Linked DNA regions of Coturnix japonica. The protein of the gene in region 1 purifies or fractionates together with the protein of each later gene. This does not show direct contact. Links are inferred from orthologs where the notes say so. Each region holds a gene or a part of one and is shown on either strand. Other genes may lie near its edges. The genes, in order: LSM1 and PATL1.

Region 1 (3,629 bases):
AGTGCTTTCTTCAATGGCAGTTTGGATATATAAGCAGGTGATTTTGCTGGCAGTACTTAGAACCGCTGCTTTGTTTTTGTCTCCTGGAAGCAAACTGTGCTTGGAGAAAGGAGCACTGAGCAGCTGCATGTGTGTATTGCGGGGGAAGGCAGCATGAGCTGAGCTCTGGCTACAGCCAGAATCTTTGTGTCAGAGCCATTAAAGCATCACTGTACCTTCGAGTCCCACACAGGAGGATGAGCTGCAGTCCTGCTGCCAGTCCAGGGTGGTTGTGATTCAGAGAGGAATGGATTCCCATGTGCTGGAGCTGCAGGCCATGCATACCGTGCCTGCACCCCATAGTGAGGGGGAGCCCACGCCTCCTCCTGAGCCCTGGGCTGTGGGTTGGCCCCGGGGCTGTGGTCTCCATATGGATACTGAGGAACGGGCATCCCTGGGGTCTGTGGGGAGAGGGGGACAGATGTAAGTCCTAAGTCAGCTCCCAATGCCTGTGGCAGAAGGAAGCTCTGGGATGAGCCCCAGCACTGGGATGAGCCCCAGCACTGGGACTGCTGCTGCTTTCTGCTCCAAAGCTCGTGACCTCAGAGCTCCCAGCAGAAAGGGGCAACTCCAAGTTCTTACAAGAGCAAGCAGGGCGAGCTGGGTGGGACATAGAAGCCATTTGGGCCCAATTAGGGTGCACTGTGGGTTCACCCTCTATGGGGTGAGCAGCACAGGAGCTCTCGCTTTGCTGTGCACACCCTAAATGGTTTCTTACCTGCGGTGGGGAATACCCAGCAGCCTTTTGCCTGCGCATTGAGCATCCCTCTGCTGGGCAGTCCTGTGTGCCACAGCCCCAGGGAGGGGCAGGAGGGGGGGGTCGATATGGGGCTGAGCTGTCGGTGCTGTAGGATGGACCTGAAGTGCTGTAGGTTCGTGTTTGTGGCAGTGAGGTGTAATGGGGAGGGTATGGGGCGCTGTAGGATCCGTTGGTGTAGGGTGAGTCCATAGCCTGGGGAGGAGAAAAGGGAAAAAGAGAAAGAAAATGAGCTGAAATGTGTGTTAGGATATTTAATGGGTTATTTCTGTACTGAGCTGTAGGAAACAAGTGGGGCTTGAAGCCCATTGTATCCTATGGCATAGAAATGAAGCACAGCTCGGTCAAAGCCTTAATGGACGGGAGGGGGATGGAAATGGACCCTCATCCCCCAAACCCAACATACCGAGTCCGCTCCGTCGGTGTAGGCCCCAAAACCGAACGCTGGGCTCCAATAACCGGGGTTGAAGCCGGGGCCTGGTGGCTCCTATAAGGAAAAACCCCATTATATGGAGCAGTGATAACGGGATAACGGGCTGTGCTCGGTTCCCCCCCCCCCTTTACCTGCCCGGTACGACCGCGGTGCTCCATGTTTTCAACCCGGCACGCTGTAGCCCACCCCACAGCGCGACACAAGGATAAAAGGCCCCCACCATGCGACCAATAGGATGCGAGGACCCCTGGATGTAACCAATGAAAGGCAGCCCCGCTCGCACTACCGGCGCCGCTTTTAAAGGGACAGTGCATCGCTAAGTACCGCCCAACGTGGGGCGGTTCCGCCACCATGAACTACATGCCGGGTACTGCAAGCCTCATCCAGGACATTGACAGTGAGTGTGACCGAGGTTCTATTCATTCAATAAGGAACCAAGGGGAAAACCGGGACCCGGACGCGGGGGACCCCGGTTTTCCCCTTGGTTCCCATTGGGACCGATGTTCCGTACCCCCGCTTGATCCCTTTCCCCATAGAGAAACACCTGGTTCTGCTGCGGGACGGCCGGACGCTGATCGGATTCCTACGCAGCATCGATCAGTTCGGTACGGATATAATGGGGGGGGATAGGGGGGGCAGCACCGGGAACGACACCGGATCAGGGCTTAATAGAACCCATATGGCTCCGATAGGAACCCAGTTTGTGGTTCCCCCATCCCTTGTCATGTTGGACCCCCACCCCATGTTATATTCCCCCCTTAGGGCAGCACTAAGTTCATCCCCCCATTGACTTGTGCCTATGGCTGAGCCCCCCAGTCTTTACCTCCCTTTACCCCTCTTCTCCCTACCCCCCTTTCCCCCCTTCCCCATTCACTTGTGCCTATAGCTGAGCCCCTCATTCTTTACCCTATAGCACCAGGGATCCCTTTATCAGCTATAGGTAGTGGCTGCTTTGGGGTCCTATAGTGGCTGGGTTTGGGGGATCATGTTGTTTAGGGGATGCTCAGCATATAGGATTATAGTGCTATAATGCAATCCAGCTGCTCCCTATGCTTTAGGCTATGGGTTGTTTCAGGTGAGGTGCTCTGTTTGGTGAAAAACTGGGTGGTTTTGGTAAAAAACTGGTTAAAAACGGGGTGTTTTTTTCTCTATCCCCACAGCCAACCTGGTGCTGCATCAGACAGTGGAGCGAATTCACGTGGGCAAGAAATATGGGGACATCCCTCGAGGGATCTTCGTTGTGAGAGGGGAGAACGTGGTGCTGCTGGGGGAGATTGTGAGTGAGCCCCGTGCCCTGCAGCCCCTCACCCTGCAGCTCTGCTTAACAACAGCTCTTTGCTTTGCAGGACCTGGAGAAGGAGAGCGACACGTTGCTGCAGCAGGTTTCCATCGAGGAGATCCTGGAGGAGCAAAGGTTGGAGCTGCAAGCCAAGCAGGAGTCGGAGAAGCTGAAGGTGCAGGCGTTGAAGGAGAGAGGCCTGGCGGTGCCCAGGGCTGACACGTTGGATGAGTACTGATGGGATGGCAATGCTGAGTGGTGCAGGCACTGAAATCATGGCTTCTGTTCCCCCTTGAGGGGAAAAAAGGAGTGATGGCAATGGGGAACCCTCGGAGGTAACTGGATGCTCCGGGGGGTGCAGCAATTTCTGTTCAGAGATGAAGGTCTCTGTTCCTTTTTGGTTTGTTTCTTTTGGCTCCTCGCCTGGAGCTGAGTGAGAGCTTCCCTTCACCTGTAAATAAACCCCTGATCTCAACAGCAACAGCTTGGCTTGTGTTTGGGCTCTGTGTGGTTATGGGCACAATGGGACTCTCCATGACCTCAGGTGCTGGGCCCAGTTCAGCTCTGTTCACTCAGGTGCAGCTGTTTGCCCCCTAATTAGTTAATTACCTGCTGAGTTGATGGAGCATCACATGTGTGAGGCAGGTAGGTAGGAACTGAGTGGGTTGAGCTGAACTGGGTGCTGCAGACTTCAGCACTTGTAGGTAAGGCAGGAAAAAGCAGAGTTTGGGGTCTTTCATTACCATGTGTTCTCTGATATTATGGGGCTCCTATTGGTGTCAGTTCCTGCCTTACAGCCTGGGCAGTGCCTGTGTTATCTTATTGCCTGCCCCCTGTTGTGTGTGTGTGTGTGTGGGGGGGGGGCTGTGTGTTTATCTCTGCTCTCCAAATAGCATCAAAGCAGCCTTGGGGCAGTGGGGGAGGCTGGGGGGCACCCTGAGGTCCCTGCACATGGAGGGGACATGGATTCAGCCCCCCCTGCTGTGGCCTCTCCTGGGCTCAGGGCACTGTGAGCAATAGCAGTGCATTGGGAGGGCTGAATGTCAAAGGGGATGTGAGGTCCCTGGGTGAGTAAGGAGGGTGTGCAGTGAGGCTGGTAGGGCTGGGACCCCCCCTTTCTT
Region 2 (4,477 bases), on another chromosome or scaffold:
GACACCTGGGGACACGCGGTGGGTGTGGGACGAGGACAGGGAGGGGTCGCGGTGGCCCCTGTGCGGCGGGGGGGGGGGCCGGCCGGGTGCCATCTGCTCGCATCTGGCCAGCGGGAATTAACGGATTGCGGGGCTGGGCCGTGGGCGGGGATGGGGACAGGGATGGGGCGCTCCATCGTGGGGCTTTGTGGCCCCCAATTTCACCCCACGGCGGCTCCACGCGAGCTCCCCTCTGCCCCGCATCCCCCCTTGCCATGACCGCGGTGTCGTGCCCCGGCCACCCCCACCCCTCCCATTTCTGGGGTAAAAATAACACTAATCCCCCGCTCCCCCCCGATGGTGGGCAGCGCCTCCCTTAATCCCCGCTAAATCCCCCACGGGCAGCACGGAGGCCGCGGGGCAGCGCAGCGTGAGGAGCACCCCAAGAACCCTAAAGGAGGACAGGGGGCCCCACGCGTGTCCCACATCCCTTCCTGCGCCCCATAGCGAGGACGCAGCCAACCCAAACCCTCCCAGGGCTCAAACCCCCGGTCCCCTCCAGCCGTAGGGCAGCACCCATCATTGGGTACCCCCACGGGTGACCCCCATTGCTGCCCTGCACCCCTCACCGCCCGGAGCTGCTCCAGCCGGTCCCGCATGGTGCCGGGCTGCCAGGACTCGCCGCCCGCCCGCTGCCGTCCTACATCAGCCCCGCTAATCCCCGCTGATGGGCACTCGACGAGGGCAAGGCTGAGGCGGGGCTGCCCGCACCAGCCACGTGTGATCCAGGCACCCGAGGGGGGGTGACAAAGGTGCCAGTGACAGCAGTGTCACCACAGCCTACAGGTGGCCCCGGCACAGGATGGGGGACAGGGGGTGGTGAGGGACAGGGGGACACGGCCATGGGTAGGGGATGTGAGTGGTGGGATGTGGGTTGGAGGACAGGGACATGGATAAGGGATGGGAGTGTTGGGACACGAAGTGGGGACACGGCTATGGGTGGAGGGAACGGGCGGGGGGACACAAGGTGGGGATGTGGCTGAGGGTGAAGGACGCGGGCCGTGGGACGTGGCCATGGATGGGAGGCACGGGTTGGAGATGTGGCTCACAGTAGGGGACACGGGCCGGGGCTGTGGCCATGGTTAGGGGACATGAAGCGGGGGACATGGCCGTGGGTAGAGCACATGAACTATGGGATGCAGGTTGGGGGGACGTGGCCGTGTATAGGGGGCTCGAACTTGGGAGAACGGCCACGGTTAGGGGACGTGAGCTGGGGGACGTGTCCGTGGGCAGGGGTCCCGCGTGGGGGGACACAGGCTGGGGGACACGACTGGAGGGAAAGACCCAGCGGACATCGCTGAGCCGTGGCTGGCGTGTGGGGCACGGCTGGGGCAGCAGCGCGCGGCCGGGGCACGACGGCGCACGAGTGCACGGAGGCGGTCAGAAAAAGGCGGCCTGTCCCTTTAAGAGCCGCCCGCAGTGGGGCGCGGCGCTCTGTGAGCCTTCGGCTGGGCGGAGCTCATTTGCGCATGCGCACCGCACGGACGGGCGGAGGAGGTGACGTCATGCGCGTGCGCCCGCGGCGGCGCATGCGCGGCGGGGCCGTAGCGGGCCGCGCGGAGCCTGCGGGCGGGGGGCGCCGCCGCCGCCGCCATGTTCCGGTACCCGGTGAGCGGGGGGAGGGGCTGAGGGGGCTGAGGGGGCGGGGTCGGGCCGCGGGGGTCGGAGCTCGGGACTCCGAGTTGGGTTCGGGGCCGCGGCTACGGGCTCAGGGTCAGGGCCGTGGGGCCGCGGGTCGGGCTGAGGGTCGAGGCTGTGGGCTCAGGGCCGAGAGTCGGTGTGGGCGCTGTGCTGGGACCGCTGCTCGGGACCGGGGCTGCCGGGCAGGGCTGGGCCTTGGCCTCGGTGGCAGCGCCGGTTCGGTAGTCGTGGTGGTACGAAGGCACCGTCTGCCGCTGCAGTCCCTGGAGGAGTGCCCGCTGGACGAGGAGGAGGACGGCTTCCAGGTGCTGGGCGAGGAGGATGAGGACATCGATCAGTTCAACGATGACACCTTTGGGGCCGGGGCTGTCGGTGAGTTCTCTGTCTCTTGTCCACACTGCCCACCCGGTGCTCTCTGCCGCTGCGCTCAGCCCGCCGTTCCCGTGCAGATGATGACTGGCAGGAGGCCCACGAGCGGTTGGCTGAGCTGGAGGAGAAACCCGTGGGCTCAGGGCAGCAGGCCCAACCCAGCAGTGAGGATGCGGAGCTGCTGGGGGAACCTGAGGATGCGCTGGCGGAGCGACTGACACGGCTGGTGATCGAGAGCGAGCTGGAGGACCCTGCCATCATGAGAGCCGTGCACACCCGTGGGTCTGCTGCACAGAGCGTGACGCTCAACACCAGCATCTGGGATGGCCCCTCTGTGCTGCAGCGCATCCGCACGCCACTGCTCACACAGGTAGGGGCACAACGCTGGGCACACGCAACGAAGGGTTGCAGGAATGGGGGAGGGTTGAGTGTTAGGAAGAGGTTCTTCACCACAGTGGCTGTAGGTGTGGAGAAGGCTTCCCGGAGAAGCAGGCACTGCCCCACACTACCAGAGCTCGAGGAGTGTTGGGGCAATGCCCTCAGATGTAGGTTTGTGTTTGGGGCGTTCCTATGTGGGGCCGGGGGTTGGACTCAGTGGTCCTGTGGGCCCCTCCCAGCTTGGGATATTCTGTGGCTGTTGGGTGAGCTGCTCTTGGACATCACTTCTAGTCCCTGCACATGCTCCCTCTGGGCTGGGAGATGCCACGCAATCCCTGATGGTGTCAGCACTCAAGATTTGGGATCGTCAGTGCCTCGAGCCATAATTGTTTTCATTGCTGGTTGACAGAGAGTCAGGCTTAATTAAGAGCTGGGCGCAGGATCCTTAGGGCTCTCTGAGAACCCTGGCTGGGGCGTGGGGATCTCCAGCACTGGGAAAGCGCAATGGGGCGGCTCCTCTGTTCTATACCACGTCATATTCAGTGCACCTTGCCACCACGTCCAGCTCTGAGTCTTTTTCACAGGGCCACTTTTACTTTCAGGAGATGCCATCGTTGTCCGTGCTGGACTACGCTCTGCCCCAGAGACCCCCACAGGCTCGGGAGGAGGAGCGGGACCCCTCGGAACGGGCACTGCCACGCCGCTCATCCTCCCCCATCATCGGGAGCCCCCCCGTGCGAGCAGTCCCCATCGGCACCCCACCCAAGCAGGCCACCATGCCCAATTTTAACCAGCAGGTATGGCCCCAACTCCTCACAGCAGGTGCAGACCCCTGCACCCCTGGTGAGGATCCAGCGGTCAGACCCCCACTGCTTTCCTTCTCTCAGATCCTGTGTCCAAAGCCTGTCCACATCCGGGCTACCATGCAGCAGCGCTACTCTGCTCCCTACGGCGAGAGGATGTCCCCCAACCAGCTCTGCAACGTACCGGTACCCCCTGCTCCCACCCCCATAACCCTCTGATGCCCCGACTGCATCATACTGCCTAGGAGGACTGTGACCAAGGGGTCTGCTCCTTTATTTTCCTGCAGAACTCTTCCTTGCTGGGCCACCCGTTCCCTACCAGTGTCTCTCCCGTTCTCACCCACCTGCAGCGGGCACAGCTGCTGGGAGGTGCACAGGTAAAGCCCTAGACTCTGTGCCCCCCAAGGCCCATAGGGGCGAGGGTCCAGCATTCTGATGGACCCTGCCTGATCCGCACTCCCTCTGCCCCACAGGCTGGCCGAATTTCTCCTAGCCAGTTTGCTCGAGTCTCAGGCCTTGTTGGGAGCCCACTACCCTCCGTCAACCCCAAGCTGCTGCAGGGCAGAGTGGGGCAGATGATGGCTCCCACTGGTGGCTTTCGTGCCTTCTTCGGGGCTGGCCCCACTCCGCCCTCACAACCGCAGCCTCCGCCGGGCCCCATGCCTCACCTGCAGGGCCTGAGGTAGGCACTGACCCCCTCATGATCATTCACCTGCCCCACGGCCCTCTAACCCCCTGTGCTCCCCACAGGCCGCAGCCCTTCCGACTGGACACCACCCACCTGCACCCCCAGCACCGCCGGCTCCTGCACCAGCGGCAGCAGCAGAACAGAAAGTGAGCACTGGGCGGGAGGGAGCGTGAGGAGGTGGGCGATGCTCCGGTGCCGGCTGTTCTGGGGGGCCCATGCAGCCGGGGGTAGCCTGTGCACCACTCTCTGTCCCTTCCTGTAGCTCCTGTGTGTTCATGGGTGCCCTTCTTGCCTCCTGCCAGCCAGCACCGTGGCCTCAACGGCTCGGTGGGGGACCGAGGGGGCCACCGGGGCAGCCACCAGGAGCAGGTGCGCAAGGACCCCTACGCCAACCTCATGCTGCAGCGGGAGAAGGACTGGGTGTCTAAGATCCAGATGATGCAGCTGCAGAGCACCGATCCCTACTTGGACGACTACTACTATCAGGTATTGGGAGGGAGGGCAGGGGTGGGGCCAGTGGGAGGGAAGAGCCGTCACACCCTGCCTTGAGAAAGGGAGG

The links.
Region 2: the proteins of LSM1 (region 1) and PATL1 purify together in Homo sapiens (co-immunoprecipitation; 3 studies listed by BioGRID and IntAct, with this or other methods). This does not show direct contact. The link is inferred for Coturnix japonica from reciprocal best matches to the Homo sapiens genes LSM1 and PATL1.

The regions. Positions count from the first base shown.
Region 1 is NC_029537.1:3,644,796-3,648,424, reverse strand, and holds LSM1 (U6 snRNA-associated Sm-like protein LSm1), read left to right. Parts: upstream 1-1,580; coding exon 1,581-1,626; intron 1,627-1,765; coding exon 1,766-1,834; intron 1,835-2,389; coding exon 2,390-2,505; intron 2,506-2,575; coding exon 2,576-2,746; 3' UTR 2,747-2,991; downstream 2,992-3,629. Other genes in the region: BAG4 (BAG family molecular chaperone regulator 4), read right to left, coding at 216-440, 758-991, 1,203-1,283, 1,361-1,582. UniProt on the Homo sapiens protein: Plays a role in the degradation of histone mRNAs, the only eukaryotic mRNAs that are not polyadenylated. Probably also part of an LSm subunits-containing complex involved in the general process of mRNA degradation.
Region 2 is NC_029520.1:202,582-207,058, reverse strand, and holds the start of PATL1 (protein PAT1 homolog 1), read left to right. Parts: upstream 1-1,576; 5' UTR 1,577-1,632; coding exon 1,633-1,647; intron 1,648-1,940; coding exon 1,941-2,052; intron 2,053-2,129; coding exon 2,130-2,419; intron 2,420-3,029; coding exon 3,030-3,224; intron 3,225-3,314; coding exon 3,315-3,416; intron 3,417-3,517; coding exon 3,518-3,607; intron 3,608-3,703; coding exon 3,704-3,912; intron 3,913-3,980; coding exon 3,981-4,064; intron 4,065-4,220; coding exon 4,221-4,404; intron 4,405-4,477. Other genes in the region: syntaxin-3-like, read right to left, coding at 609-638. UniProt on the Homo sapiens protein: RNA-binding protein involved in deadenylation-dependent decapping of mRNAs, leading to the degradation of mRNAs. Acts as a scaffold protein that connects deadenylation and decapping machinery.